Linked DNA regions of Rhinolophus ferrumequinum. The protein of the gene in region 2 purifies or fractionates together with the protein of the main gene of each other region. This does not show direct contact. Links are inferred from orthologs where the notes say so. Each region holds a gene or a part of one and is shown on either strand. Other genes may lie near its edges.

The links. Proteins that work in one complex are often made in the same cells at the same time.
Region 1: the proteins of KBTBD7 (region 2) and ERC1 purify together in Homo sapiens (co-immunoprecipitation; 4 studies listed by BioGRID and IntAct, counting the BioPlex papers as one, with this or other methods). This does not show direct contact. The link is inferred for Rhinolophus ferrumequinum from reciprocal best matches to the Homo sapiens genes KBTBD7 and ERC1.
Region 3: the proteins of KBTBD7 (region 2) and VANGL1 purify together in Homo sapiens (co-immunoprecipitation; 4 studies listed by BioGRID and IntAct, with this or other methods). This does not show direct contact. The link is inferred for Rhinolophus ferrumequinum from reciprocal best matches to the Homo sapiens genes KBTBD7 and VANGL1.

What each region holds. Positions count from the first base shown.
Region 1 is NC_046293.1:88,986,083-88,993,383, reverse strand, and holds the start of ERC1 (ELKS/Rab6-interacting/CAST family member 1), read right to left. Parts: upstream 3,016-7,301; 5' UTR 2,756-3,015; intron 1-2,755. UniProt on the Homo sapiens protein: Regulatory subunit of the IKK complex. Probably recruits IkappaBalpha/NFKBIA to the complex. May be involved in the organization of the cytomatrix at the nerve terminals active zone (CAZ) which regulates neurotransmitter release.
Region 2 is NC_046287.1:8,877,585-8,885,398, forward strand, and holds the start of KBTBD7 (kelch repeat and BTB domain-containing protein 7), read left to right. Parts: upstream 1-4,789; 5' UTR 4,790-4,955; coding exon 4,956-6,995; 3' UTR 6,996-7,814. UniProt on the Homo sapiens protein: As part of the CUL3(KBTBD6/7) E3 ubiquitin ligase complex functions as a substrate adapter for the RAC1 guanine exchange factor (GEF) TIAM1, mediating its 'Lys-48' ubiquitination and proteasomal degradation.
Region 3 is NC_046305.1:45,998,918-46,006,921, reverse strand, and holds the start of VANGL1 (vang-like protein 1), read right to left. Parts: upstream 3,016-8,004; 5' UTR 2,896-3,015; intron 1-2,895.

The DNA.
Region 1 (7,301 bases), on a different chromosome or scaffold from region 2:
TTATAATCAAGTGGATTTCTCTTTTACCCTATACTCTGACACATCTTTAAACAATGACACAGTTGATCATTCCCTCCTCCTTGAAAACTTTCTTTCCTTCCCTTCTAATAAATCACACTCCCTTGGTTTTCCTAACTTAATGTCTCTTGTCTGTCTCCTTTGCTAGATTCTTCTTCATTTCCCCAGAAGATACCTAGAAGGCAAGCTCCAGGAAGGCAGGGATTTTGGTCAGCTTTGTTCACTACTGTATCCCCCAAGAGCCAAAAAAGCACCCAGAACCATACTCAATAAATTAACTGTTGAATGAATAAATGAATGAATCAGTGTCGCAAGACTCAGATATTGAAGAGCCACAAAAGTAAATTATATTCCACACAATCTGTATGCTGTTTACTTTATTACATTATATTTTTCTAAAAATTGATAATCAATGTACTGATTATTTGATTAATCAAAATAGTTCACTCCCTGTTCTCCATTAATGTTTTTGATCCAGTATATGCAAAATGCACATTTAACAGCTCTTATACTACTTCTAAAACCATAAACATAGTGAGAAAAAGAACAGCTGTTGCTATTAGAACCTTTATTTTTACTGTTTCCAGTATTAATGTTGAATTAACAGACTCACATACTTATCTGACTTTAGTAATGAAAAAAAAAAAAAAAGAACACCTCAGCAGACTCAACAAGGATATCACAGTAATGACCAGCAAATGGTATTTCTTGAAAAAATGTAGTTGTTGTTCTTTTCAGGCACAAGAAATTCGAAAGAGAAACAGGTCATTTCTACTTCACACTTTCCCCAAATTACATGATTTCCTTCCTGCAAGAAGAATCACATCTCACAGTCAGCCATGCAAATGTCATTTTGGCAATACAGTTTCACCCAAAATCTCAGTTTGCATTTGTCCCCATGTGTACCCAATTAAATCAAAGTATAATTTAAAACCCAAAACTAGATATGTGAATTTTAATTTTTCCTTCTAAGTAACTAATGCAAAATCAAAACAATGCAGCGTACCAACTTATAATCTGATCTTTCTGAATAGTTAATTAAATCGTTTATTTATAACTACAAATAGGACCACGCCCTTTTTATCTTAATAGCTTTTATATCATCTGTTTCCTATAAGTCTCTTCAAGCAGAAGTATCTGCTAGAAGATAATGGTCTGCTCACTAAGTAGGCATGTTAAAAAAGGCAATGATCTGCAACTACTGACACTGACATCTGTATATTTCTCTCTTGGGTTACCGGAAAGCACTTCTCTGGCTATTTTCCCAAATTAATTGAGTAAGCCTTGGGAAAGTCACTGCTGAAATTCCACTTCATGACGGTTTCTCTTCCTCCATAAATGAATTATTGAGAGTCATGCCTACTTCATCCATTACATAATACATGTCCATCACAGCACCTGTTTCCGAGCAAGAACTAGTTTACATGACACTGATAGGTAAGGTCAGTGAATACTGTAATCTAATAGGGAGCAGGAATCCAGAAAAAAAGATTCTGATTTAATGTGCTAAGTTATGAAACACTGATGTGAAGAACACTAAACACTGTTTACTCTTAGTAACATCTCCCTATGAAGTGACAGGCACATGCCCCCAAAATGTTGTTAAGGAGCATTTTAAAAGTACTTGACTCCAAGAACATTACTCAGAAATTGAGAGGTCTACCAAAAAGTAAACTATTCCACTTTCTTTTTAAAGTGCCTAATAAAGACATCTGCAATTGAGAAATAAAAATAATCAATAATTTTGTTGAACACAAAACGTCTAAATGTCAAGGTCCATCCACTGAAAAACGAGCTGTAAAAGACAGTTGTGCTTTAAAACATTTAAGCACTTTTCATATAATTAGCTCCAAAAGACCTATTCCAAATTGTTCATTTTATCCATCCCAAGCAAGTCAACCACAAGCACAACCACCTCCAACTATTACTCAGAAATGTGTCTTCCAAAGCAACCGATTCTCAGGCCTGCTCTTAAGGGGCCCGGATAAGAGCTTGTAAATTAAGTGGTAAAAAGAGATCTTTTGGACACAGAAAAAAGACTGGAAGATAACACCTGAAGGACCTATTTCCCTGAACGAAGTTGTCTTAACCCAAGATCTCACTCTTCTTGAAGGCTAAAACTTCAAATCCATCCACACTCACAATTTACCCACCCTGAGCCAAAAGCAGGGATTCTCTTCCCTCCCCGACAGACCCACTCAAACCGCCAGGAGGAAAAAAAAGAAAAATAACCAAAACCCTAAAGTAGAAATGTGAAACCTAGTGCAACAGCTTCTCCACTGCCTCCGAGGCAACATCCACAGCTCATCTCCCTCTTGAAACACAACCCTTCACCTCCTACCGGTATCTTACCATTTCCCAGATGGGAATAAAAAAGAATCCTCATCTCTTTCAACATTTTACATCAGTCACCCAAATCCACAGATCCACCCTGACTGCACCCCCACCTCCTCACGGCTCCCCAATTCCTCCATCTCGCCACTACCTCGCCCGCAACATCACGCCTCATCAACCTCCCACCCTCCGTTTCCCCAACGCCGGGAACCCCATTCTCCCACCTCCCGCCCGGGGTTACCCACGTCCAACGCCTCAGCTCCCGCCCAATCCCCGACCTCCACTGGGTGGAGCCCGCCGGTGGGCTGGGTGGACTCGGGTGGGCTGGGGTGGGGCCCGCCCCTCCCCGACTTCCCCATCCCCCCGGCGGCGACACGAGGGGGAGGGGGTCCCGAAGCCTCACCTACAGCTCCGCCCCTCCCCGGGGGCGCGCTGCCCTGCCCTAGCCAGGGCCGGGAGGAAGAAGCAGGGTACGAAAAGGCAAAAAAGCCTCGGCCAGCGACAGGCGGGAAGCTCTAGGTCCCGCCTGACTTCCGACCTGCCGCCACCGCGGCCGTCTCACCCTCTTCAGGGCTGCTGTTGCTGCTGATGCCGCCCGGGCGCCGCCACCGCCGCCAATGCCGCCACCACCACTACAGCCGCCGCCGCCGCCGCCACAGTACGGCCCGGGCGCCCGCTGACGTCACCTCGCCCCGCCCCCTGCGCGAGACACCTAGCCCCGCCCCAGGCCCCGGCCGGGAGACGCCGTGAGCTCCGCCTCGCTTCCCCGCGCCCTCCCGCGAGCGCGACTCGGCGGCCCCCAGGCCTCCGGCGCCTTCCAGGGAAAGGCGGGTTATGGGTTTGGAAGCGGGGGTGACTCAGGCTCCAGCGGGGACTCCGCGCTGAAGCTAAGTAACGGGCACTGGGCGTCTACACACGTACACACCCCCACACGCGGCCCCTGCGGCCACGGGAGGTGAGATTCCGAGCCAGCTCTGGAAAGCGGCTGTAGGTGGGAGCGAGGAAAGACGGCGTTTGTCTCCTTCTGCTTGCCGTAGGAAGTGGACCGGCCGGGCCCAAAGAGCAGAATCGTCGCCTTCCCAAACCTTATAATCGCCCCACCCCCTCCTTGGCGGGGCCGTTACACAAACCCCGGGACCGCCGCCACCTCGGTGGGGAGCAGGGCTAAGGACCGGCAGTACGTTCCCGGCTGCGCTCCCGCGGCCCAGTGAGCACCCTTTGTCCGGGGAACTTGGATTTCCCCCCACACTTCGCTTTTGCGAAATGTGGCAACTGAAGGTAATAGTGTGACCTGAGACACCCGGGGCTGTCCACACGGCCCTAGGGAAAGAACTTAGGTGTCTCCGAAAACCCACGCCAGTGTGGATCGTATTCCTGTAGTGATTAGAACGGGAGAGAAGAGCGTGGGCGGAAATTAATGTCCACATTCGGTCCCTGCGATGTGCCAAGTACTGTGCTAGGTTGTCTTGTTCAGTCCTCACGACAGCGATGCGAGTCTGCCAGGCAACTGGTAACCTTATTTCGGGCAACCCAATTTTCCTGTACTGAATCGCAGTCGGGTTTCTTTTGTCGGAGCCAAAATTAGTGGACTGAATCCAGTAATTTAAAGATGTGGGTAAGCTATCTCTAAAGAGTGTAAGAGTGATGTGAATTATATTTATTCCCAGGCTTCTAGTGTTTATTAAAATAATTTAAAATGCCCTTGAAAGGAGTTGAATCATCATTTTACTTTACTTACTCGCCACCACCACAATTAACCAGCTTACAGTATGTCATTGATGCCACTAACATTTTCCCGGCTCTCCTCAGTATTCACATTCATTCATTCTCCAAATTCTCCTCTTTCGTCCTGAGCAGGCTGTCTAATTGTTCCCTCAGGATCACCACACACTTGGATTATTACAGATCCCGTCCTGCTGTATAGTCGCCCCCTTCAGTACGTTCAACACATGGCTACCAATTGTTAGACTGTGCTGCCAGCGAAGACTATATAGCTGCCAAATTAGCATCCTAAAATTTCATTTTCTTGGACATCTGGCTATTGACCGAGGAAAAGCCATCCTTCTTTGACTGTTTTTCAAGATCTTTCTCGTCTGACTGCTGATCTACTCATCTTGTTAATCCCTAGCAGTGTGGTGAGGAAAAAGAAAAGTAGTCATCTTTCTAGTTTCCACTTTCCACTCTCAAATTCTGCCTCTCTCTACTTGTGTGAGGGTGGGAAAATCACTTTACTGCTGGGTCCTGCTTTTCTTAACTGTAAAATGAGGTGTGAACTAGATGTCTGAGATCCATCATATCTCTGAAATGTGTGGTTCTGGAGAGTTAAGATGCAAAAGCACTAAGTTATGCATACATAGGGAAACTGTCAATATCACAGACTCAGAGATATTTTGTTTTTATTTTTGGTTTTGTTGTTTTTCTTTTACAATTCCACTGGTTGTTTTTTCTTATTTCCTACTCTGCCCCAAATACCTTCTTAAAACCTACATTTAGGATTTGTTTATTAAAGCCGGCTAACAGCATTCATTGCGTCGTCTTCCTGAGACCTCATTAAAATGCTAATAAAGGAATAAAAAATTATACAAGCCCATACAAAATAGAAAATGGGAAGAGAGCCCCATAATTTTTTTTTTAATTTTACACACAGAAAGTGAGTGCAGTCTGACTAAACAAAATGGAAGAAACTGTAATGTGGAATAGGTGCATGGGGTGCTGTGGAAGGGGGCCTATCTGCCAGAGTTACTGATTTAGAGAGACTGAAATTTGGAGACATAAGACAGAAAGCAATAGTAAAAAGCAGGGCTGAAAACAGGGAGACTAGGGGTCTGTATGTAGGACAACACGACCCTCCCTGTATCTCAGATACAACAGCTAGGCATTTATCCCAGCCTAAAAATCAAGAGTTTTTATAATCCCTGGGGAGGATTGGGCAGCTATTTAAGCATTTAATGACTAAGAATAAAGCATTCTTCGTTCTGGAACAATGGCTCATTTCCTACTTACTCACCCTAGAGTGAAGTTGTGCAAGTTGGCAAGACCCTACTAAGTTCACAAGGTGCCTAATCAGCATTCCAACTACCTCATCTGAAATAGGAACAGACAACCCAGGATTATTAGTTATTTAAGGAAAATCTCCAGCTTGCGGGGAGGGGGTGAAGATAAACACAATGTGACCATAGAGGAAACAAACTTCAGAGAACTTAAAAAAAACTAATTAGTATGCTCATACATGTTTACTACACCTATGAAACAAGAATAGTATACTCAGATGAAGTAACAATCCAAAAATAAAAAGTAAGTCTTGAAATTAGAAATAAGAAATTGCCAAAATTATAAATTTACCTGAAGTATTAAAAGACAAAGTCAATGAAATTTTAAAGAAAATAGAAGAAATATGCAATTTCAATTTATTTTAATATGAAATTTATATATGTATTATATATTAACATACACAGTATATTAAATTCATATTAAAGAAAATAGAAGAAATATGAAATTGCAAGAGAAAATTTAAGAGAAATAGTTTCTTTTGTAGGACTGATACTACAAAAGAAAAACAAAGTAAACAAATGACAGAAAATCACCCCAAAAATAATGGAAGAAAACTTCCCAGAGCTGAAAACATCTGCCTGTACAGAGCAAAAACAAAGAAAAAAACAACCTTGTGAAATGTTATAACTAAAGATTAAGAGACAATCCTAAATTTCCAAAGAGGGGAAAAAAAAGCAACCCATGAAAGACCAAGAATCAAGCTGGAATCAGAAATCTTAGCAGCGCTAGATATGAGACGATAACAAACAAAGACTTTAAAGTTTCTGAGGGAAATATTTCTTGAACTTCAAATTCTTAGGGAAAAAATTTTTTTTAACTCTATTCCTGCTGAGTTATCATTAAGTAAAAGAGCAGAACGAAAACATTTTCAGATATGCAGGGACTCATGAACTCCCACATAACCCTTTTTAAAAGATTTACTTCGGGGGCGACCGGTTGGTTAGAGCGCCAGCTCTCAACAACAAGGTTGCCAGTTCAATTCCCACATGGGATGGTGGGCTGCGCCCCCTGCAACTAAAGATTGAAACCGGCAACTGTACTTGGAGCTGAGCTACGCCCTCCACAACTAGATTGAAGGACAACTTGGAGCTGATGGGCCATGGAGAAACACGCTGTCTCCCAATATTCCCCAATAAAATTTATTTTTAAAAAAAGATTTACTTGAAGATGTGATCAAGCAAAATGTAAAAAATAGTGTATCTGACAACATCATATCCAGGAATCACAGCATCAAATTCAGGAAATACCAAGTCCTAGGCTAGATTGGAATGGAAGGATAGGAGTTCTGGAAGAGAAATCTGAAAAAGAAGAATATGACTGAAGAATTAATTACTATGATAGACAGCTTAAAGAATGGTGTTTTTTGGTATTCAGCTTTTTTATTTATTTATTTATTTATTTATTTATTTATTTTTATTTTTTAAAGATTTTATTGAGGAAGGGGAATAGGACTTTATTGGGGAACAGTGCGTACTTCCAGGACTTTTTCCAAGTCAAGTTGTTGTCCTTTCAATGATAGTTGTGGAGGGCGCAGCTCAGCCCCAGGTCCAGTTGCTGTTGCTAGTTGCAGGGGGCGCGGCCCCACCATCCCTTGCGGGAGTCGAACTTGCAACCTTGTGGTTGAGAGGATGCACTCCAACCAGCTGAGCCATCCGGGAGCTCGGCGGCAGCTCAGCTCAAGGTGCCGTGTTCAATCTTAGTTGCAGGGGGCACAGCCCACCATCCCTTTTGGGAGTCGAGGAATCGAACCGGCAACCTTGTGGTTGAGAGCCCACTGGCCCATGTGGAAATCCAACCGGCAGCCTTCTGCATTAGGAGCACGGAGCTCCAATCGCTGGAGCCACCGGGCCGGCCCCTGGTATTCAGCTTTTAGAGCCAACCTATTAATAAATTATAAT
Region 2 (7,814 bases):
GATGCTAAATTTGGTAACTCAAATCTCTCCGTTGTAATGATACATGTTTTCCTTAATAGTTAGTATGCAATCTGTAGGGTTATACTTTGACATCATATAATCATTCGGTTCCTTGTGCTAGGCAGCTTCTGAGATAACCCCAATAATCCCTGTTCCTGGCATTTATACACTTGTGTAATCTCTCCTTGAACGTGGACTAGATTTATTGATTCTCCTCTAACAAATAGAGTACAACATATTGGGCAGCTCACTCATAGGCATGCTCCAATTGAGCAAGAGTACACCCAGAAAAACTGGCTGCCAGTGACTAAAGGCAGTGTGAGTCATTTTGGGTATAGACATAAAGTGAATAGTGTGTAGACTATTTAAAAATCAGAGCGAAAAACAATATGAGGGAGCCCAGGATGTAGAGCTGATGGCGCCTGCCACAGCCCTGACCTGAGCTGGTAGGATGGAGAATAGAGGCAGTACTCACGCTCAGATGGGAGAAGATTGTGTGCAGAATCACTGATAAATACCACCAAAGCCTAAATTCCGGGAAGGTGAACGGCTGCTTTGCTTTCATGGGCATCTTTATGAAGCAAAGTGTGTAAAGATTTTTATAAAGGACAAACAAATGAAATACTTTGTACTTACAGTGATTAGAGTAAACACTGGGGTGAATGGGTTCCAGAAAGCAGAGGACTGAAATAAATGGAAACCGATCTGCAGAAACAGGACTTCAGGAAGCCATTATTCGGAAAGGAAGATGAGAGAGGCTGCCCCAGGAAAGATGTCTGAGCTACAAAACAAAAATGTTGGAGTCACCCAGAAATGGAAATGGGGGCAGAGCCAGTGAGATACCTCAGCCTCCTCAGAAGAAAAAGGGCCAAGGAGACTCTGATGTTAGATTCATGAACAGAGTTGAAGGTTCTTGAAGAACTAGAATCAAGATTTGTCATTGATAGAGACTTAATGACCAGGTAAAAACAGCTCTTTTATCTTTCTGCCAAGAACGTAGATGCCCTTGTAAGGATTATGCAAATTATAAGAGATTTTTAGCAAACACAGAGAACTAGTATATGTGTGTTAATGAAGTTGTATCAGGAATAAGAAGACTGGAATGGAATGTTGGGTGCTCAGCTAACTTTATAAATTTGAAAGACCTCCAGTATGCTGAGACCCTTAAAAATTGTCCCGAGGCACCTTTGTCCAGGTGTGTACGGAGCACCAGCCACATCTACTGAAAACTGGAGCCTTGTTGGCCTCTACACGTGGGGAGTCTTAGTTTATGACTGAGCTATCTTCACGATTTCCTGGCAAAGAATTCTGCAACTTGATTTACTGCTAGCAATTACCAAGTGGCTCCTCCTAGGAGGTATAATTTACAGTAAATTAAATGCACAGATCTTAAGAGACAGTTCATTGAATTTGACAATTGCATACACCCGTGCAGCCTTCAGTCCAATCAAGATGAGAACATTTCTATCACTCCTGAAAGTTTCTTTGGGTTCCTCTGCAGCCAATGCAGAAATCCACCAACCCACACTGGCAGCCTTTATTATGATTTTTATTCACCATAGCTTATTTTCACTGTTTTGAAACTTAGCATAGACGGTCATACAGTATGTACTCTTGTGTATCTGGCTTCTTTTGTTCAACATAAAATTTTCGAAACTTGTTTACATTATTATGTGCATCAAAGTTTGTTTCTTTTTTATTTCTGACTTGCATTACACTATGAATATACCACAATTAATTTTTCTCATTCTCCTTGATGCACATATATATTTACAGTTTTGGGCTATTATGGATGAGGCTACTGTGAACACTTCGTGGACATATGTTTTAATTTCCCTTGGAAATTGCAGTGAAATTATTGGGCATTTAACATTCAAAAAAACTACCAAACGGTTTTTTAAAGGGGACATACCAATTTACATTCCCATAATTAATATATGAGAGTTCCAATGGCTCCCTATAATCACCAACATTTGCTCTTATTGATCTTTTTAAGTTTAGCCATTCTATTGGCTGTGCAGTATTTTCTCATTGTGAATTGAATTTGCATTCATGATGAATGACATTGATGGGCTTTCATGTTTATTGGCCATTGGCTTATATGTATTATGAATATTTTTTGCCAGTCTATGACTTGCCTTTTTATTTTGTTTTCATTGCTTTTTTTAAAAAAACAACTTTAAGTGTGTTTTTCCAGGACCCGTCAGCTCCAAGTCAAGTAGTTGTTTCAATCTATTTGTGGAGGGCACAGCTCACAGTGGCCCATGTGGGAATCGAACCAGCAACTTTATTAAGAGCACTGCACTCTAACCAACTAAGCTAACCAGCTGTCCCTGTTTTCATTGCTTTTCCTGGACAAAGCTTGTAATCTTGTTGAAATTCATTTTATCAATTTTCTTTTCTTTTTTTTTAAGGAGGGCTCAGCTCACAATGGCCAATACGGGGATCAAACCGGCAACCTTGGTGTCATTAGCACCACACTCTAACCAACTGAGCTAACCTGCCACCCCTATCAATTTTTTTTAATGTTAATGTTTCATGTATCCTAAGAAATCTTTGCCTACCTCACAGTCACAGAGATAGTCTCCTATGGTTTCTTCTAGAAGCTTTGTGGTTTTCAATTTTCTGTTTTACATTAAGATCCATTTCAAATTAATTTTTGTTTATGGTATAAGTTTATGGTATAAGGGTCAAGGTTAATGTTTTTTTTCACATTATGATCCAGTTGTTCCAACACCACTTGTCTAAGAGACTTCTTTCTCCACTGAATTTCATCGATACCAATGCTGTGTTTCTAAAATTTAAAATTCAGTTCCTCATTTGCATTGGCCACATTTCAAGTTCTCAAGAGCTACAGGTGGCTTCTGGTTACCATATCAGTGGGGCGGATATTAAGTATTTGCACATCGCACAAAGTTCTGTGACAGCACTGCTCTAGACCTTAGGGCACTGTGTCTACTAAATATTTCAGATTCCGTGAAAGATAATATAAACCAAATAACAAAGTATGGACTGATATAAGGAAGTTAAAAATCAATCACTTAACTTATATGAGGCATGTAGAGTAGTCAAATTCAGAGACAAAGTAGAATGGTGGTTACCAGGGGTTTTGGAGAGGGCGAAAGGAGAGTTACTGTGAATGGATACAAACTTTCAATTTTGCAATATGAAAACAGTTCTGGAGATGGATGGTGGTGATGGTTGCAAAACAATGTGAATGTACTTAATGCCAAAGAAATGTACCCGTATGCTTCAAAATTGCTAAAATGGTAACCTATATGTTATGTATATTTTACCAATATAATTTTTTAAATTGCTGTTTACCCCAGCTTGTGTTTAGTGCAGATGAGAAAGCAATCAGAGTTACTAATGACTTAATTCTTTCTGGTATATCTGAGGGACACCCAACTGAGGTACAGAGGAGACATTGGGGCCCAGAGCCCCACTTAATTTAATGTCTATTTCCTGGGGGTATTTCCAGTAGACCCACTTTAGCTAATAGGAAAAGAGAGAAATACAAGTTGAGAGTTATTTTCCTACTATGTGTTGTCTACATATTCGTGTAATACTAAACATTTCATTCATAATGGTGACCCATGGCAAACTAACAGCAGAAGCAGTCTAGTTTTTAAATTAAAGTTCCCAAACTAAAAAAAATCAAGTCTCTAAGCACTTGATTTTGACAATTTAACTAGCAGATAATGTTGATCTATATAGCTATGTCAACAATTTAGTAAAGCATCGACTCTACTACATAAATTTAAGAAATGTCAGGGCATGTATGAATACGGTACTCTGAGGATCTTGGCTTGTGTACAATACAAGGTCTGTTTATTTAAATATTATACTTTAAAACTCTCATTAAAACTACTTAATAAAAACAATTCCAGAATTTACAACTGATTTGTGGAAAGGAAGTGAAAGGAGCAGTATTAGATGACTTGCAAACACTCATGAAGAGGCTGTGAAAATAGTCTTGCTACCCAGGAGATGAAGTGTTGACTTGATGAGTCAACCCATCCATTTAATGCCTGATTTGCATAACTGAGGCCATCTACAATGGCTGTCCTCTAGGATCTCATTTTGTCTAAGACATATTAATGAACCTGTGAATATCGTTTAGTATTGAAAATAAATATTGTAATACACTTCACAGCCTTTCAAAAGAAGCAACACTAAAAACGGTAAGTTTTCAGAAATTGCTCATGGTTTCAAATTAGGGGGTGTCTCAATTTTCATAAATTCTAAAATAAAAGCTAACTGAATATGTACTAAGCTGACTGAATATGTACTAAGCACAGTGTAAACAATTTTTGTTCTCAAATATTTATTGAAACTTTCTATATCCAAATACAATCCTATGAATACTATTATCCCCATTTTACAAATAAGTTTTCAGGGAGAAATGACATAATTAATGAATACTGAAACGGGGCTTTTACTTTGTATTTCAAAGCCAAAGTTTTAAACCATTAAATCGAGGAGCATTAACGCTCTCTAATTCTATTACCTGAAGAAACACTCCGCCCCAAGAAACCTCGCGATATTATTCAAGCTATCACTCCCAACGTGCAAAGCGGCTTACTATTATTCAGCCTATGAGCATCTGGACTGTCCAGGCACGCCTCGAGTGCGAAAAGCAGCCTGGGAGTCGTAGTTCAGGATCCCGTGTCGTCAGCGCAGCAGTGGTGGCTCACTTGGTTCCAGTCAGCGGGTTCACTGAGGGCGAGCTGAGGTGAAAAAAAAAAAAAAAAGGGGGGGCGCGGAACTGGAAAGGGTGAGTAAGACACTGTCTACGCGATAAAAGGAGGCGGCACCGCTGCGTGGGGCTGAGTTTAAAAGGTGCGGCCCCTATACAGGGAAGCGCCTATCTGCGCTGGTTAGAGCAGATTGAGGCGGAGCCGGAGCTCCGTCCTTGCCCGGGTTCTCACCTCAGCACCGCGGCCATCTCCACCATGCAGTCTCGGGAAGACGCTCCGCGCTCTCGCCGCCTCTCCAGTCCCCGTGGTGGGAGGCGGCCCAAGAGGATTTCCAAGCCCTCAGTTTCGGCTTTTTTCGCGGGCCCTGAGGAGCTGAAGGACACGGCCCATTCTGCAGCCCTGCTGGCACAGCTCAAGTCCTTCTACGACGCGCGGCTGCTGTGTGATGTGACCATCGAGGTGGTGACGCCTGGCAGTGGGCCTGGCACGGGCCGCCTCTTCCCCTGCAACCGTAACGTGCTGGCTGCCGCGTGTCCCTACTTCAAGAGCATGTTCACCGGCGGCATGTACGAGAGCCAGCAGGCAAACGTGACCATGCACGATGTGGATGCCGAGTCCTTCGAGGTGTTGGTCGAATACTGCTACACGGGTCGCGTGTCGCTAAGCGAGTCCAACGTGCAGCGCCTTTATGCAGCCTCGGACATGTTACAGCTCGAGTACGTGCGGGAAGCCTGTGCCTCCTTCCTAGCCCGCCGCCTTGACCTGGCCAACTGCACCGCCATTCTCAAGTTCGCCGACGCCTTCGACCACCACAAGCTGCGCTCACAGGCCCAGTCCTTCATCGCCCACAACTTCAAGCAGCTCAGCCGGATGGGTTCGATTCGGGAGGAGACCCTGGCAGATCTGACTTTGGCCCAGCTGCTGGCCGTGCTGCGCCTGGATAGTTTAAACATCGAGAGTGAGCAAACGGTGTGTCACGTGGCGGTGCAGTGGTTGGAAGCGGCTCCCAAGGAGCGGGGTCCCAGCGCTGCGGAAGTCTTCAAGTGTGTCCGCTGGACACACTTCACTGATGAAGATCAGGATTACCTGGAAGCGCTGCTAACCAAGCCCATTGTGAAGAAGTACTGTCTGGACCTTATTGAAGGGGCCCTGCAGATGCGATATGGTGACATACTGTACAAGTCTCTGGTGCCAAAGCCAGAGTGCAGCAGCAGCTCTGTTGTTTCTGCAGCAGAAAATCCACCCCAGAGGCTGGGTGTGTGTGCCAAGGAGATGGTGATCTTCTTTGGACATCCCAGAGATCCCTTTCTCTGCTATGACCCATACTCAGGGGACATTTACACAATGCCCTCACCTTTGACCAGCTTGGCCCACACTAAGACTATCACCTCCTCAGCTGTCTGCGTCTCTCCAGACCATGACATCTATCTAGCTGCCCAGCCCAGGAAAGACCTCTGGGTGTATAAACCAGCCCAGAACAGTTGGCAGCAACTTGCAGATCGCTTGCTCTGCCGTGAGGGCATGGATGTGGCATACCTTAATGGGTACATTTACATCTTGGGTGGGCGAGACCCTATTACTGGAGTTAAATTGAAGGAAGTGGAATGCTACAGTGTTCAGAGAAACCAGTGGGCACTGGTGGCTCCTGTTCCCCACTCCTTCTATTCCTTCGAATTAATAGTGGTTCAGAACTATCTTTATGCTGTGAACAGTAAACGCATGCTCTGCTATGATCCTAGTCACAATATGTGGTTGAACTGTGCTTCTCTTAAACGTAGTGACTTTCAGGAAGCCTGTGTCTTCAATGATGAGATCTATTGCATCTGTGACATCCCCGTCATGAAGGTCTATAACCCAGCCAGGGGAGAATGGCGGAGGATTAGTAATATTCCCCTGGACTCAGAGACCCACAACTATCAGATTGTCAATCATGGCCAAAAGTTGCTTCTCATCACTTCTACCACCCCACAATGGAAAAAAAACCGGGTGACTGTGTACGAATATGATACTAGGGAAGACCTATGGATTAATATAGGCACAATGTTAGGTCTTTTGCAGTTTGACTCGGGCTTTATTTGCCTCTGTGCTCGTGTTTATCCTTCTTGCCTTGAACCTGGTCAGAGTTTCATCACTGAGGAAGATGATGCACGGAGTGAGTCTAGTACTGAATGGGACTTAGATGGATTCAGTGAGCTGGACTCTGAGTCAGGAAGTTCAAGTTCTTTTTCTGATGATGAAGTCTGGGTGCAGGTAGCACCTCAGCGAAATGCACAGGATCCGCAGGGCTCTTTGTAAATATTTGGAAACACTACAGGTGATTCTACTGCTATGGAATGTATTTTAAAAAGATATCCTTTCCTTTTCCTGAAAAAAAAATTGATTAGTACCACAGATTTGGTTTAGAAAGCGTAATGTTGAATTACTTATGTAACGTTCCAAAATTTAAAAACAGTCCACAAAATTAACCTATATAATAATTTACTGTGCTAAAAGTCGAGATTAAAATATGCAAAAAATGAAGTGTACAATTGATTAAAATGCTTGGTGGTTTTTTTCATTGTTCAAGTATTCATTGTACCAGTGAATTGTTATGGTTAGTTACACTGCTTATATTTTGGTTATCTAATTTAGTCTTCAGTTAACTTTTTAATTCTATTTAGTGCCACGAGGCATTTAACTTTTTAAGTTTTATAATAGAAAATTGGACTAGAAAGTGTTGCTATGGTTTTGAAGGTTTATATTTTCCTTCAGAATAATGAAAATAGATTTACCAAATTCTAAAGTAGTCAGTTTTTAGTATTCTAGGTTAATATAGTTTGTTAAATTTGGTTTCGTTTTCTTCCCTTTTGCAAAGGAAAGAAATTGAACATATAAAGATTATTAAATAGCGATTTCATTTTGATATAGTGCAGAATGGTCTTAAGAGCTCACAGAAAATAAAAATAAATCAGGATTCCACTGTTTTAAAAGAAATTTAGCTTCTAATTTTGGAATATAAAATGTATATTTAATAAATGTGACCATTTTTTAATCTAAAACACATCCATTCTAGTAGTGTCACCAATTATTTAAACACCCTTCTAAACCAAAAGAGAAATAAATAACTTAATTTGT
Region 3 (8,004 bases), on a different chromosome or scaffold from region 2:
CTTTCATTACAACAGAGCTCTTAACAAATGCGTGATTCTGGGCCACTATTCACAAGGAAAGAACAAATGTCAACCTCATTTTACCTGTCTTGCTAATGATCTCAGCTCACCTTCCCAGAATAAGTGATCTTGGCTCAAGTCCTTCACAACCTCTGAAACACCCCGAGCAGCTGGGTGTAGATTTCTGAGGAGCAGTGAAGGGTTCACTTGCCTGGGGTTCTATGATGTACATTTGCTTTTAAGTGACCCCCTAGTCCCCTGCTAGATATTTAAGCTTCAAAAAAAAGAGATTTCACAGGCACTACCTCCTCTGCAAATCCCATGGTGGCAGGGCCAATGATTGCTGCCCAGTAAGTAGGGTTCAGAAGGACACTGATGGAGACAGACAGCAGAACATGCATGTGTCTTTTCATCAGGCTTCAGGCGAGACCAAAGTCACTCGTACATACATGGTCCAGCCCCAAGCCCACCTAATCCTGTCTTGTCTGCCTTCTGGAGAATGGCATAGCATGATGCCCAAAGCATTTGCCCATACCCAGCCAGTCCCCTAACCACAGCGAGTTCACTTTACAGATAGAGTATGGTGACAAAACTCTAACAGCTTACAGTGTGATTATTGTGTGTGAGGGACTGTTTTAAGTCATTTGCATGTAATATCTCACTTAATCCTCCGAACAAGCCTTATAAGGAAAATGCAATATTAATTTCATGATACAGTTAAAGAAACCAAGGTCACGTACCTGGTAAGGGCTGGGCTTAAACTCTGAGAGTCTAATTCCAGAACCTGTGTTCTTAGCTATGGAAAATGTACAGCAACGTAGCAATTACCAGAACTATTTATTTCCACAAAGGAGGGTGGGCAACAATCGTAAATCGTCCCAAACCACACAAAACCCACAAAGAATTTTGCAGTTTCAACTCCTACTCACAGGTTCAGTGTCCCAAGCATTGTGGGGAGGCCAGCAGAAAAGAAAGGAAGCTGAAATATTAATAGCTCTAGGTCCTAAGGCGCTCACAACCCAAAGGTGGAAACTACCTGCTAAAATACAATGTGATCAGCAACCCAAATACTGCTGAGGCCTAGGGTAGTAACAAACTGGATGTTTGTGTGTGTTAGGGAGACAGAGGGGACAATCCCTTCTTCACTCAACGCTTGTTTATTCTTCAATAGATCAGGGTGACATGGAACTGTTGCTTGGTAAGGAACTTCTCTTTATGGTTTATGTCGTTCAAATCCGTAAGACAATAAAACTGTGCTGCCTGGCAAACAGTCCTTACGAAGATGCCGTTCTCAAAAATTCTTCTCCCATTTTACCTACAAATTAAGTGGCAACCAAGTCACACTGCCGACACGGTAACAGTGAAAATTTCACCATAGATGTTTCACTAATGATTCTGAGAGAAACCAAAGTTTGGGAATACCAAATGCTCACAGATAGGTGAGAAGTGTTATTTCTTTGAACCGTAGGATAAAACAGTTTCTTCCCAGAAATCAAAGCCCCAACTGTATCACATTGATTTAAATTCAACTCTTAAACACTCTAAATTAGTGGTTCCATAAAGTGACTAATTACATGTCCCTGGATGCAGACAGTTTCTGCCATCCCACTTAGAGCCTAGGAGCTGTGTAATCAAACAACCCACCTTCAGGAAGGAGAATGCTGATTAGTATTGTTGATGGGTGACACCAGTTATAATATTTCCAGCAACCCTTTAAAATTTATAAACACATCCCTGAAAATGCCAGATTCTTCACAGCCTGCTAGCTTTTGGAATACGCGTCTAAAAATACATGCATTGCCAACCACAGCCCCAGAAAAAAAAAAAGGGGGGGGGTTAACAAAAATGCACGTGCCATTCACACAACCACCATGAAAAACTGCTCCTGCATCTCTTACCGAGCAGCTCAAAGAGCTCCCAACACCTTCGCGGTGCGGGCTTGATACCTGGTTTGAAGACGCGAAAACCGATCCAACAGATTTCTGGACTCCAAGTCTCACTCCAAGCTCATCTCCCGGCCGCCAGGCCGCGGCTCCGCCCCACTCCTGCCTCTGCCACCGACGCGTTTAAATTTTTATAAAGCTTCACACGGCTCTGGGCGCGTTGCTTGGGGGAGTTCAAAGACTGCCGTTGGAAATGAGGTCCTGCCCGTGACCAAGCCGCCCCGGTGCGGTGAGATTTCCTCCAACTGGGACCCCCTCGGGCAGACTCGCCGGCCGCTTTCTGCTCCACCCCGGCGTTTTTTGAAAGTAAACTCCTACCTGCCTGTTGCGCTCTGCGATGCACAACCGGACTCGCCCCCCCGGCCTCCGGGGCCGGCTCAATTTTGGAAGCGAGGTGTGAACACAGGCCAGCTCTGTGCCGGTTTCTGGCCCAGGGCCCGGCGGCCCCGGGCGCTGGCGGTTACGGGGTCGAGCCCCGCGGCAGGGTGAGAACCAGAGTGCGCGCCCGGCTCCCCCGGCGCGCAGGGCGGCCCGGCCCCCGGCCGGCACGGCCGATGCAGCCGCCGGGTGCCTGCAGGAACGCTCGGCCACTCCCTGCCAGCCGCCGGAACGCACAACCCGAGGGCGCACCCCGAACTGCAGCTAGGGGAGAAGGGGGCGTCCGAGGCGCGGGGAGGAAATGTGGGGACCGGAGGAAGTGGGGTGCGGCGGGGAGCGCAGGGCAAGGGCAGGAGCAGGAGGGGTGCACCTCGCCGGGATGGGAGAGGAGTGGGACCCCGGGAAGCACACACGGGGTGCGGTCCGTAGAATGGGAGGCGGGAGGAGGACGGTGAACCCTGGGCTGAGTCCTGGGGTTGGGGTGAGGGATCCGCGCTGGGGGCGTCTCCCCGCCGAAGATCTGCGCCCCGCGCCCGCCGCCCCGCCGCCGCGCCCGGCCTCTCGCCGGACTCACCTCGGCGCCGGCCGTGCGGGCTCCGCGGCCGCGGTCTCGGCTCGCAGCAGCCCCGGCTCTGCGGCCTGCGCTGGGCTCCTGTAGAGGCAGAACCCCGCCACCGCCGCCGCCGCACTGCTGCTTTCCGCTTCCTGTCCCGGCGCCGCCCCGCAGCCCGAGCCCAGCCCTGCGAGCCCGGCGCGGCCGCGAGCCAAGAGCAGCGAGCGCGGCCAACCCCGCGGCGGGCCCGGCCCACCTGCCGCGGGGGCGGGTCCGAGCCCCGGAGGCGTCTCCCCACCCGGTCACTCCATACACCGGGACACACACACACACACACACACTCAAGTCATGCACAAAATCCAAGCCTGTTTGCCCTCATCAAAGCCCCAACACATGTTCAAGCAGCCCAGGGACTCATCCCCCAACCCGGCGCCCCCACCCCCAGACACTCATACATACACATTCTAAGAACTGGCCAACAAATATCCATATACACCCACACCTCCACCAGTATTCACACTCACACTGAAACTCGTATGCCGCCCCAGAAACACATAGCCGTGCACACCCAGACGTCCTACAGGTCCCCACAGGCAACCTTCTCCCTTCTCCTGCCCAACAGAGCAGTCACTGCCCCGAACCCCAGTCTTTTGAAACTGCTGGAAGAGCATACCTCTGAAGGCAGGCAGCCCATGTTCCAATCCTGATTCAAGTAGGTCTGCTTCCATCTGTGAGGCTGTTTCCCAGTCTGAAAAGCCAGAGGGTGGTAACACCAACCTTACAGGATTGTGGTGAGGATTATGGAAAGTAGCTGGGGCCCAGCGGGCACGGAGTAGTTGTCAACTACCTATATGAATTGTTGCACCCTTCTTCCTTAGTTGTCTTGTGCAGAGAGGGTTGGGGATCCATGTGAAGAGTCTGGAGTCTGGTTGGGACCCAAAGCTGCTTGCATGACGCAGCTGAGTAGAGGTGGTGTATAATGAATACTGTGGGCAGTTGGGGTGGGGAAACACATGCCCACCCTGAACTAGCCTTAGTTAAGGAACTTCAGCCTTCAAGGCCCTCACTCTCTTCTCACCACCCCTTCCGCATCCCTTCCACTCCCCGTTCTCTCTTCCATATATTGCACTTCAGAGGGCATCATATGTTCAATATGCAATCTTGACTCCTCCCCTCCCAGCCCTCCTACTCCACTATACTTCACTGCAAAGCTTTATAAAAACATGTCTCTTTCATCTTTAAAATGTAGACCCTTCAAAGTTACTGCAGGCCAGGGATTTCTGATTTTAGTTATGATGCTCCTGAATAGCCCCCATGTGATATACAGATCCTAAATGAATTTTCATGGGAAGTGATTCAAATCCACTTTTCTAAGTCTAAGTACCTTAACCATGTGGTGCTTTTGTGGGAAAGAGGGGTAGTACAAACTAAATTCGATTTTAAGATAATAAATTCACCTTTAAATGCCATCTACTATTCATTTGTATCCAACAATCTCAAGTATTCAAGCTGAAAAGGTAAGAGTTGGAAAACTTCTCAGAAACTGAATGATGGTCTGTGTAACCTGGAGGCCTGCCTGGCTCCCATTATCTGTCACAAAGTGGATCAGCCTTATTCAGTTAGCAGTCTTATTGAGCTCTTGCCTGAAGTCAAGTTCTACAGCTTAACCTTGAGCAATAATAAAGGTTATACTGTGGGCTCCATCTGCCACCCCTTTTGTCTGGCTTATCCATTTGTTCCAAACTTGACTAGGGAATCGGATGTTCTCTAGACTCCAGTATGACTATACTTTCCACAAATTCATGCATTTATTTTCCCCTTCCTGTCCACTCTCACAGCATTCCCAAACCCTAGAATGCTACCCACTGAAATTCTTCCTGTCTACCAAGATCCAACTCAAACGCCATCTTCCCCAGTTCTCCCAACAAGAAATCAATTTCCTCCCTCACTTGAATTCCCATAGCACTCTGGATTTTTAGATTCACCTTCCTACCTTGCATTGGTCATTTGCATGTCACTCCTCAATAATGTGCCTGCCAATGTCATGTCTTTTTTTCTATCACAGATCTTTCTACATAGTAGTCGCTTTAAAAAATACTTAGCAAATGAATGAAAAAATGAAAAAATACTTAGCAAATGACTATGAAATACCATTGCCCTTGGGAAGTTAATAATCTAACCAGGGAACGATGTCACTGAAAAGTTGTGACACATGCACATAAAAAGTTAACAATGAAAGAGAATATATAAAATGCGAAATGCACTACAGGCATACTTAAAGAAGTTATTTATTCAGCCTCAGGAATTATGAGTAGAACTGCAAAACAGGAGTTAAGTGAGAAAGGCCTCTGATCAACAAAATAGATAGTATAATATCCGTACCTTAACGTAGATAGACCTCATAAATAAAAGAATCTTTCGTACCCTCACTTCGACGCTGTTTACACTTAGTTTACAAACGTTTCTAATAAGCTTCATCATCTAATTCCTAAGCCTACTATAGATTAGAAACACATTAAAAGAGAGCAGGAGGTGACCTCAGGAGACCCCAGGAACTGCACAGGGTGTCATTGTGAAGATTGTTTAATTCCCAAACTCATGTCCTTTCCTTTTACCAGTTACTTTTCTTGGTGCGCTGTGACATCACAGAATAGCAGTGTCCATAGTGGTGACCCTGACTTTCAAAGGTTAGATGGATATTCTCTATACAATACTCTATTCAAAGATAAGGACGATGTGAGAAAATATTAGAAAAATTTCCATGCAAAATACTTGAAATGTTAAAAAGTGCTGATTCTTGAAAGGGCCATTTTCTGTAAAATCTGCGAATGTGTAATATCTGTTTATCGGTTCATAACGCTAGTGATGGGTTATTCGTGCCCAAGAAGAGAGTCACATGGACCTGGATGGTCAGTCAGCATCAAGTTGTCCTCCTCTTGAGAAAAGAGAGAAGTGGCATAGACATAGGAGAAGGACAGTGGCTGGAGCAATGACTGGCTTATCTCAGGTGCTTAATAAATATGAGTTGAATAGATGAGTTAGTATTATTTCTGTCTGGAGTATTGGCAGGGATGGAAAGAACAGTGCATGAGATACAGTCAAAGGCAGTGAGCAGAGCAGTTAGGCTCAAGATAAGAACTCATGCTGAGACACAGAAGATTCAAAATTGAGTGGCTAGGATTAGAAGACAGAGAACTTTGAATCCAACACGAGTGGCTGAACTTTTTTAAACGCGCTAACAACGTGATAAAGTATTCATTCATCCAAAAACATATACTGAGTACCTAATACAAACCAGGTAATGTATTCACTTCCAGAGATACGAAATTAGATAACGTAACATTGATCAGTGATTGCATAATGTATTCAACAAATGTTTATGGAGCACTTACCACGTGCCAGTCACTATTCTAGGCTCTGGGGATCCATCAAAACAGACAAAGCTCCTGCCGGCTTAGAGTTTATATTCTAGTGGGAGAGACGCACAGGTGAGCAACACATGCAGTGCATCAGTGGTAACAGTGCTAAGGAGAAAACAGAGCCGGACAGGACATGGGGGGCGGGGGGAGGGGTGTGTGCCTCCTTCTCCTGGAGGAGTTCATGCTGCTGGGCGAGACTGTTCCTTAAACAAAGCCACACAATCGAATATGAGAGTGCTGTGACTGACCAGAGGCAAGACGGGCATGCTGGAAGCCCAGAGGGAGAAGAGCCAGCTCAGCCTGCAAAAGCAGCGTGGCTTCCCCTGGCCATGATGACCTGGGCACGGAACATGAAGGATGCACATTTGGCAGATAAAGAGGGAGGGAACATCCTGGGCAAAGGCACCGACGTGTGACAGAGTATGTCCAGGAGGCTGTGTGTGACGGCAGAATGCAGAGCTGGTGAGCTGGTGGAGAGTGGGGGTGGGGAAGTGACACAGGGGTGATAGCTGCGTGGAACTGCAGGTCTGGAGGCGTAGGCACTAAAATGATGCTTGTGTCAGGGGGAAGGACAGGAAGGCACAGAGTGTTGAAGCGGCATGGCTCCTCAGGGTGCCTGACAGCGTTTGGCACAAGGGGAGCATAAGGGAGAAAGCAGGGCTAGGATGGGTGGAAGAAGGGTGGGCACGACCTGGAAGCAAGGAGAAGAAGCCAGAGCTCAGAGGGCTTCTAGGGTGACTTAGAAGTGGGTGTTATCTGCTAGGCAATAGGGAGCCACGGAAGAGTTTTTATGGAGAGGAATAGATGAGTGGACTTTGCAGTATGGAGAGTGGCTTTGTGAGGAAAGAGTGAAAGTAGGGAGACCAAATAGAAGGCCGGGGGTCATAGGGAACCCAGAGTGAAGGATGGGCCTGAATTACTGCAGCCGTAGGCGAATCTCAATCACAAGTGGGGAACCAGGAGGGACAAGAAGTTCAAGCAGCAAAGGTAAATTCTCTGTTAGGCATATTGAGATGTGCCAACAATCATAGGTCCCATTTATTGAGCCTTTCTTGTCTGCCAGGCACTCTGCTACGTATTTTACATGTCTTATTTATTCCTTGCTACAACCCGTGTTGTGAATATTAGACCATCTACATTTTATAGGGAAGGAAACTTGGGCATCGAGAGGAGATCACACAGCTGCTACCTGGTGGGGCCAGGTTTGAACCTGGATTGTCTGACCACAGTCTCCACTTTTGTCCATAAGCTAGATCGCTGTGTGGCAGTGTGGGAGGACGTAGGCTACTGGTGATTAATATTGTTTGGGAAGAGGACACGTGATTGACAGTGCCGTAGAGAAAAGAGAAGAGGTGGGTAGAGAAATGCAGACTTTGTGAAGCAAAGAGATAGGACAGGGACGTGTGGAGGTGAGACAGGTGTCATTGTCATTTTGTTTTGACACAGGCTCCAGCCTGTTTATAGACCAGGGGGAAGAACTGTTAAATTTCAACATTTAAGGAAGGAACATTTAAGGAAGAAGGGTGGAAGGACTAGCCTTGTAGAGGTGGAGGCAGGTGAGCTCACAGGGTGGGTGTGGGAAGTCAAGCCATCTTAGTAGTCTTCATGAAGAAGGAGGCAAGATGCTCCAACAGAACCCGAGAAGCCAGGAGATGAAGACAGGCCAGAAAGAGGAAGTGTGTCTGACGGCTTTCCAGGGGCCCTTTGATAA